2 linked regions of the Bombyx mori genome follow. The protein of the gene in region 1 binds, or shares a complex with, the protein of each later gene. Links are inferred from orthologs where the notes say so. Each region holds a gene or a part of one and is shown in the gene's direction. Other genes may lie near its edges. The genes, in order: RpL6 and RpL27.

The links.
Region 2: RpL6 (region 1) and RpL27 share a complex: the UniProt entries of both Caenorhabditis elegans proteins name them as parts of the large ribosomal subunit. The link is inferred for Bombyx mori from reciprocal best matches to the Caenorhabditis elegans genes rpl-6 and rpl-27.

Annotation. Positions count from the first base shown.
Region 1 is NC_085122.1:1,366,981-1,371,364, reverse strand, and holds the start of RpL6 (ribosomal protein L6), read left to right. Parts: upstream 1-1,264; 5' UTR 1,265-1,430; exon of another isoform or gene 1,431-1,537; intron 1,538-1,687; coding exon 1,688-1,837; intron 1,838-2,402; coding exon 2,403-2,554; intron 2,555-3,627; coding exon 3,628-3,799; intron 3,800-4,384. Other genes in the region: two pore calcium channel protein 1, read right to left, coding at 870-1,023. UniProt on the Caenorhabditis elegans protein: Component of the large ribosomal subunit.
Region 2 is NC_085114.1:13,912,846-13,917,100, reverse strand, and holds RpL27 (ribosomal protein L27), read left to right. Parts: upstream 1-1,436; 5' UTR 1,437-1,446; exon of another isoform or gene 1,447-1,559; intron 1,560-1,645; exon of another isoform or gene 1,646-1,795; 5' UTR 1,796-1,806; coding exon 1,807-2,025; intron 2,026-3,434; coding exon 3,435-3,620; 3' UTR 3,621-3,661; downstream 3,662-4,255. UniProt on the Caenorhabditis elegans protein: Component of the large ribosomal subunit.

The DNA of each region.
Region 1 (4,384 bases):
ATTGTACGGTATTTGGAATTACCTATTGTTTTTTTTTTTAACTAAGTCACATCAGACAGTTCAAGGTTAAATTGAAAAAAATACGTCTACTTTTGTAAGTTATGGACCGTAAAGTAAATTAAATTCTGTAAGTAATTATTATAATCATTGTGTTTTGTAAACAAGACAATTTTCGAATTTTAAAGTTGATGGGTATTCTATTTTCATGCAGATATTTATTGACATATTTAAAAAATAAATTTCTAGTTGTCTCATACAACACACTATACTTCTAGCAATTGTAGTCAACAATTAGGGCAGAACAAAGTGGTTTCAACCAGATTTATACACAAATGAATAGTTCCATTCGATCACGCTCAAACCATAGTGGCTATTTATGAAAATTGTACCTCTTCGGAGTTTCACAGTTAAAACTAACACATTGAGATTAGTAAACTGTCAAATTACTTTTTTTTAAATGTATATAGCAAACGCTTTAGAGTAGATTTTGAAGCACTAAAATACTATACAAAAAACACAAAAACAGCGGCTAACTATTCATGCAGCGTAATCTGTTCCGTTAGAATTAAGCAGACCATCGGAAGCTCATTCACGTTAGTTCCAAGAACTAGGTCGCGTTATGTTTATTATATACATATGTTAGATTCACGTAGGAAATGACTCATCCTCGACGTATATAGGATTTACTGCAATTTTACAAAAGATCACCGTTCGACCTGCGTCAGCTGGTGTTGCAACAGAAATGAAGCTTAATACAGAGATGAAATTTGAAAAAACATTATTAATTGCATTACAATTAATGTATTGTTAACAAGGAAAGCGTACATTAGGCTGGTGGCTACGGTGCATTAAAAAATGTTTTCGTTTACTTGAGACGTTCGAGCCGTAATTGTTGATACTGGTGTTAGCGAAATCATCACTGAATCTTTTATAACCGTCCGATGGCGAAGACGGGCTCCTCAGAGAAGCCATTTTTGCAAACTGAATTCTTTTGACGTTCCAAATGAATTTGTTTCTTGACATTTGTTTGGATGCGTTCAGATGTTGCTCTTCACGTGGGTTTCTTTTTCTTTTCTTTTTTACCTGGAATTGTAGTCGTCATTATCTAAAATATAGAAATTACTCAATTGAGAATTTTTACTTCAATTAATCTTTTAAATTGAACGTTTAAAATACAGATTAGTGTGTGCACAAAAATGTTTGAAAGACAACAAAAATCGGTAATGTAATCGATGTGAAAATAAATGAGTAACATCACTATGACATTATCCATAAACAAAAAAGTCTGCATAGATTCCTTTTTCTTGAACCCGGTTTGAATGTGAGTTGGTGTTGTTTTTAATGAAAATAAATCCTTTTTAATTGATTCCAAATCAGCCGTTTTCTTCGTTTTCGTGCTGGAATATCATAGTGGATCCTTCAAACAAGTGGTATTGTGAAATATTTTAGTGGAATGTAGGAAGTTCTAAATTATTATTTTGGTTAGATAGGATTGTGACGTTAAAGTGTCGTGAATTGATTGAATATAATTTGTAGTGTAATGCCTGCTTATTATGTCTACAAATTCATAACCACGAGTAACGATAGTGTTACTTGTTTGCAAGGAAACACGGGCTGGATAGACATAACCTAAGTTTTGAACGTCAAGTCAGGTGTTCGGTCTAAAGATTGTGTTTTCGATTTACAGATGGCTCCAACACAGCCTAAAGCGGCGGCCAAGCCTGCTGCCGCACCTGCAGGTGCGGTGACTAAGAAAAAATCTACGAAAAAACCCAGGAACTATGATCTGGGCAACGGAGTGATGCGTTTCTCCAAATCCAAGATGTTCCACAAGAAGGCTAGTTCCTATTTTCTTAATAAACAAATATAAATCAAAATTGTCGTGCTATTTGTTTAGCAAATCTAAAATCAACTATACCAATAAAAATACAAACAATTTTATAAACAAAAATCCATGTGCACTTAGGTTTCGCTGTTAATCTAATCTTTTTTTTTTAAATACCTAAACCCTAAGTATTTCTGCCCTGAAGCAGTAATGCATTTCGGTTTGAAGGGTGAGGCAGCCGTTGTAACTATACTGAGACCTTAGAACTCATATCTGATTCTCAAGGTGGGCATTAAGCTGTAGTTGTCTATGGGCTCTGGTAACACGTAACACTTGGTGGACCTTGAGCTCGTCCATCAACCTAAGCAATTCAAATTAAGATTTAACCAAAACGCTACTATATAAATAGTGTTATACACTTTAAACAAACACATCAACTAGACTTTATTTTCTCGAGTATAGTCATGCATTCACTGATGGCATTCATGGACTTTTCCTGAGTTAAGTTATATGCTGCATTCACATTATGGAAGAAAAGTAAAATATTTGTACATTCTAATTTTGAAATCAATTACAGGCTAAATACAAGTTCATTGGCAAAAAGAACCCTAAGCCTGAGAAGCCCAAGAAGCTGACTGTTGTTGTAAAGCAGATTGGAGGTGAGAAGAATGGGGGAACCAGAACAGTACCCCTCAAACGTAGGAAGTCCTTCTACCCCACTCAGGAGAAGTAAGTACAATAAGGATAAGTAGGTAGTGGCTTAGCAATGCCCCTGACATTTCTGACATTGATTTGCGATGATGACCATCTTAACGTCAAGCGGGCCATATGGCCTGTCTTTATTACCTCTGTAGAGTGGCAAAAAAGTAAGCAATTGGTGAAAATACTTATAAATGTATACTATTACTGACATTGGGAGGCCACATGGCCGGCCTGTCTTTATTTTCCTTGTAGAGTGGCAGGTCTGGCAAAAAAGTAAGGAACTTGTGAAAATACTTATAAATTTATACTATTACCTACATTGGGAGTATTCTGCAAATTTTTGCATTCCAATTCCATTCCATTATTGTGTAGATCAGATATATGATTCAGGTTACAGACCCTTTTGTGGCCCATAGTTTCAAGAAAGGAATGTATAGAGGTAAAACTAATTGACACAAATGCCGAGATTGTGATATTATTGATGATGTGCAACATATATTGAATGTATGCATACTAAATGAGCTTGATACTTGCTAGCCAATGATAATGATATGAGAACATCATTATAATAACATTAATATGGTGCTGGTATCTCTTGTTAGAAAGTGCCTAGTAACTATGCACAATCAAGAAGGCACTCAAATATCATGGAGCAATGTCTCTTAGCCTTGACATTTTATTATTATAGTTGTGTATTAATCAATTAGCCTCTTATTGTATGTAGAATTATGCGGTAACATCATTACCATTAAATAAACTCCTAAATAAAAAAAATAAAAAAAAAGGTAAAAAAATCTGTGGGTTTAATGCTGGGTGTTTACATGAAATTCAATTAATTGAAAACTGTCCCTGAGAATATGTTCAATTACCTTAAACTTGACAATTTTTTCAAACATTAAATAACTACCTTTATTTGTTTAAGTTTGAGAATAATAGATTAGCAATACAATTGAAGTAATTATGTTCTTGTATATCAGGAAGGGTGATAAATTTAAATGGGTTTTTATAATAATGTTAGTTGTACTGAGGGGACATTGATAAGGTGTGGAAACAAACACTGAAAACTACAACGGTAATAATGTTCCCAATTTTTATTCCAGAATCCGTGCCTCATCTGGTGGCCGTCCATTCAGCAAGCATGTACGCAGGATCCGACCCAACCTGAAGATAGGAACTGTTTGCATTCTCCTCGCTGGTAGACATGCAGGCAAGAGGGTTGTACTTGTTGGAATTCTGCCCAGCGGTCTGCTTTTAGTTACTGGACCTTTTGCAGTATGTATAATAATCATCCTTTTTTTGGTTTCTTTTAAGGGTATACAATTATACACAAAAAAAATTGAGACACTGATTTGGCTATCAATGTTGATATAGTTACAAGTTTGTAAGCGGCAGCTTGGCTCTGACCCTGGCATTGCTAGACGTCCATGAGTGACAGTAACCGCTCATCATCAGGCGGACCACAGGCTGCATGAGGCAATAAAAAAAGGAAAATATATATAGTTATTCAGTGCGGTATTTAATTGTGCTGTTGCTGATAGCTACAATACTTTGTACTGCTGAAATTGTAAACTTAAAAAAGCGGGTTCTTTAATTTACCCAAACTTATTTGAATTTTACTGGTGGTAGGACCTTTTGTGAGTCCGCGCGGGTAGGTACCACCGCCGTCTATTTCTGCCGTGAAGCAATAATGCGTTTCGGTCTGAAGGGTAGGGCAGCCGTTGTAACTATACTGAGATCTTAGAACTTATATCTCAAGGTGGGTGGCGCATTTACGTTGTAGATGACTATGGGCTCCAGTAACCACTTTACACCAGGTGGGCTGTGAGCTCGTCCACCAATATAAGCAATAAAAAAAAA
Region 2 (4,255 bases), on another chromosome or scaffold:
ACACGAACCCTAGCAAGAGTCGTGCTTCGCAGAATCTACCACCGGATCGGAAACGCGACCCACTGAGAAGATCCGGCGAGAAACTCAGTGGGCTGTGTCTGAGAGTTAATTTACTCGTCGAGCCCTTCGTCGCAAGCGACGGGTTTGACGAGAACGGTGACCGGGGATGGCGCATTTACGTCGTAGATGTCTATTGGCTCCAGTAACCACTTAACACCAGGTGGGATGTGAACTCGTCCACCCATCTAAGCAATAAAAAAATATGGGCTACCATATTTAATAATTCTCTTAGTCTCTTATTTCTTTGGGAGGAAAGATGGATGTTTACCCAAAGGCGTTTTCATGACCTTTCGGATATAAGCGAGCTCGGACTTAGTTGAAAGGGTAGAGATTTGCTAAAGACTACCTGAACGTCTCCTGAGGCCTAAAAATTTTATTTGCGAATGAGTCATGCTACAGGGTCAAAATTGCGATCGTTTTCAAGATATAGCAACAACTTAGTCAAAGCTATAGATTATGTATCGCTTCGAGCTCTTCGGCGAGTCGGTGACCTATATTTTGGTCGCTGCTAGCGTTAGCAGAACCGTCCAACATCACCGACAGTAGAATAGGTGAATTCGTCAGGATTTATCTAGGGCGACGGCGGAGGGTGGCAGCTCGGTGAGCCAGTGTGTTTAGAGCTAGTTTTTTAACATTCTCGATAGCGTAAAAGTTAACTCAAACTTCTATGGAGTTGGAACAGCACCCCTAGCGGCAAACGTAGGCAAGCGTTCGAACTTCATACATATTTGAGTTAACTTTTACGCTATCGAGAACGTTAAAAAACTTGGTCTAAGCACACTGGTCAGTGGTGCCTACTATAAGGGCACTATCGTGTTACCTTGCTGTTATGAAGGCGCCTATAGAGACTAGATATGAACGAAGCCTACTGACGCTGCCTTCTCACGGATAAGTTCAAGATGCAGATAATCGATGCTCTACCTTCCTTGTCTAATAAATCGGGATTGTAATGTTCGAAGAAAGGGCTAACTACTATATTACGAGGATTACAGTTTACTCTGCTTGCCAACGGCGAAAGCGGCGCATCTCGGACAGACTACACAAGGAACATACGGTAAGCCTACTTTAATCTTCAGGTAAGATTTTTTGGAACTGAATAAATTCGGTTGTTTCGGAGGCCTTGCCGCTTTACCAGGACGGGTACGCGAATTCACAAATATTAAACAGTTAATAAACTACCGTTATTACACATTTAAACCTGAAGAAACACTAAATAGACAAAATAAAATAATTCACACAACTTCGCTTCTCACGTTCCCGCCAAAAGTCCTGAGCATCGGTAAAAATCGGAAATCTTTCAAGTGTCAAAAAAAAATCAGCTGTCAAATTGGAGTAAATTTGTTAATGGTAACACTAATTCTTTCTATGTCAACGAGTAAAGGGAATGTGAGTTTTGTATTTTGTTGTATACATAATCTCGAAAAATCCATAAAATTGGTTTAAAAATTAACTAAAAACGTACAAGTATGTTAAATTTGTGAGATACTAATAGTAAGAACGTGAATATTTTTCCTTCTCACTGCAAACTTTTACGTAGAAACTGAATTTGAATCTGTGTTATTCTTACATTTCAATTTGTTTTCAGTGCATTACATGTGATTTACTAGTAGATTAAAACTCAAATAGCAATCACGAAGTGTTTAAGCATAAAGGAGTGTTTAAATAGCCTTATTTCCTTGAATACTGGTGGTGAATTTGTAAATACCAATCTTAAGGTTAGTTTTGTTTTTCTCAGATCCCTCCAAGATGGGTAAGATAATGAAGCCGGGTAAAGTAGTGCTGGTCTTAAGTGGCCGGTACGCGGGTCGCAAGGCTATCGTAGTCAAGAATTACGACGAAGGTACCTCCGACAAGCCGTACGGGCATGCTTTCGTCGCTGGTATCGACAGGTACCCCCGGAAAGTGCACAAGAGGATGGGAAAGAATAAAATCCACAAGAGGTCCAAGATAAAGCCTTTCGTGAAGGTAAGATTCCCTTTTAATATTGAATTAAACTAACGGCTGGTTAATTAGTATATAATATAGTATATGACCATATTTAACTATTCTAAATAGATAGAACTGAAGTTACTAAGACCAAAGTTATTGAAATGAAATATTTAGAAATTCAATTAGTGCTACTTTTAGGGTTTAAGTAATCTCGTGTTGATCAGATACAATATCATGACAAAAAACGCCAAATTGAACCAAAATAAAGGAAGGTTTAATTATGTGTACAGGACACTCTAAAACTAAACAAAATATTATTTTAAATTTAAATCAAACCAGGATAAATGCGATAACCATTTTATTAACAATTTTGGGCAACATCATCTTCATGATTGAAAATAATATCCACGAGTATTGCTCAAATGTATTATAAAATTTCAGGTGTAGTTAATAAAACTGACATGGGACTGGTCAGTGTAGCAAATCTTGGTCGAAAATTGTGTCCAGCAATGGATTTCTATTAAAATTTATAGTACTTTTGTGTTATTTTTGTGTGAATAGAAGACATGAATGAAAAATTTACAATAGAGCAGCATTATTGTGATTTTCCAAATTTGTAAAATGCATTCATTAATTTTCAATTAACTATAAATATCTTTATTATGAAATATTTAACTAATAAATGATATATGTGTTTTGATGACTGTACAGATTTGTTTTTTGTAGACTTTAATACTGTGTTTTGTTCAGTTATTAAATTAGCTTTGGCAAATATACCCCAGCCCGAATAGTGTTTAACATATTTACCATAAATACCATAATATTAGTGCAGATACTTAACACAGTACAGTACAAAAGTGTGTGATATGAATTCGATTGCATTTGCATAATGCCATACAGTTTTAAATAGACTGTATCACTGTTAGAAATGAGGAGGATTATAATATTTGTAGAATGGGCACTCAACATACCCTGCCACTAAATGTAAAGTATAATTGAGGATATTTTTCTATTAAAACAGAATATTGCAAGAGGTAGTAAAGAAAAGGATTCATAGTCCCTTATTGAATTAAACAATTGACAATTATTACATACGGTATTAGAGATTTATATTAATATAATAATATAAAAACAAAAGCTTGTTATCTTGATTTTTACGAACAATCTTAAACAGTGCTTGTTAGTGATTCTTATAGTCTTCTGTTCTTCCTTTAATTTTAATCAACTATTATAAGTACTGATGTAATCATGTTTTTAGATTTTTCTGTATTCATGTATTTAAAAAAGTGCAAGTCTTGAGTTTCTAAACAATTCTTCTTCTTCTTAATTCAATAGAAGGACTTGTAATAACTCTTGATTTTTTAAATTTCCATCATTATTGGACTGCATTAAAAGGTACAATCATTGCTGTATAGTTATTTGAAAATATCTGTTTTCTGTTTCAGGTTGTAAACTATAATCACTTGATGCCAACACGTTATACAGTTGACTTCAGCTTTGAAAAATTCAGCGCAAAAGACCTGAAAGACCCTGCAAAACGTAAGAAGCTGCGTTTCAACACGCGAGTACGTTTTGAAGAGAGGTACAAAAGTGGGAAGAACAAGTGGTTCTTCCAGAAGCTTAGGTTCTAAGTGTAATTTTAAAAGAAAATAAACGTTACGTGAGTAATGAATACATTGTTTTATTGCACAAACTGAAACAACAACCTATCCACTATTTACTTATATTTTTTTCATAATAAAAGAGTTTAATTAAAACCTTATTTGTAAGGAATGTATTGAATTTTTTGAGATGTTCTTAGTATCTCTTTATTTTTTGCATTACTGGCGTTTGCTTAAAAAGAGTTTCCCTTTAGTGTCCAAAGTGCTAAGACTTGTCCTTCAAAGGATTGAGAAGAGCCCAGTTGAAAGACAATGTCTTGAGTTTGCTTCCCTGGCATCTCATATCCATTAACTATGAACGAACGACCACTACTCATGTCTCCTAATATTGGTTTTCAAAAACGAAATAATATACAATTCGCCTTCAATACATCAAAGTTGAATGTGTCAATTCTTCTGCTTAGTGCAAAATTTACACTATTAGAATAAATATACATCCTGGCCCTTGTCAGTTTTCGCTACGAATACTTTACTGGTGGTAGGACCTCTTGTGAGTTCGCACGGGTAGGTACCACCGCCCTGCCTATATCTGGCATGAAGCAGTAATGCGTTTCAGTTTGAAGGGTGGGGCAGCCATTGTAACTATACTTGAGACCTTAGAACTT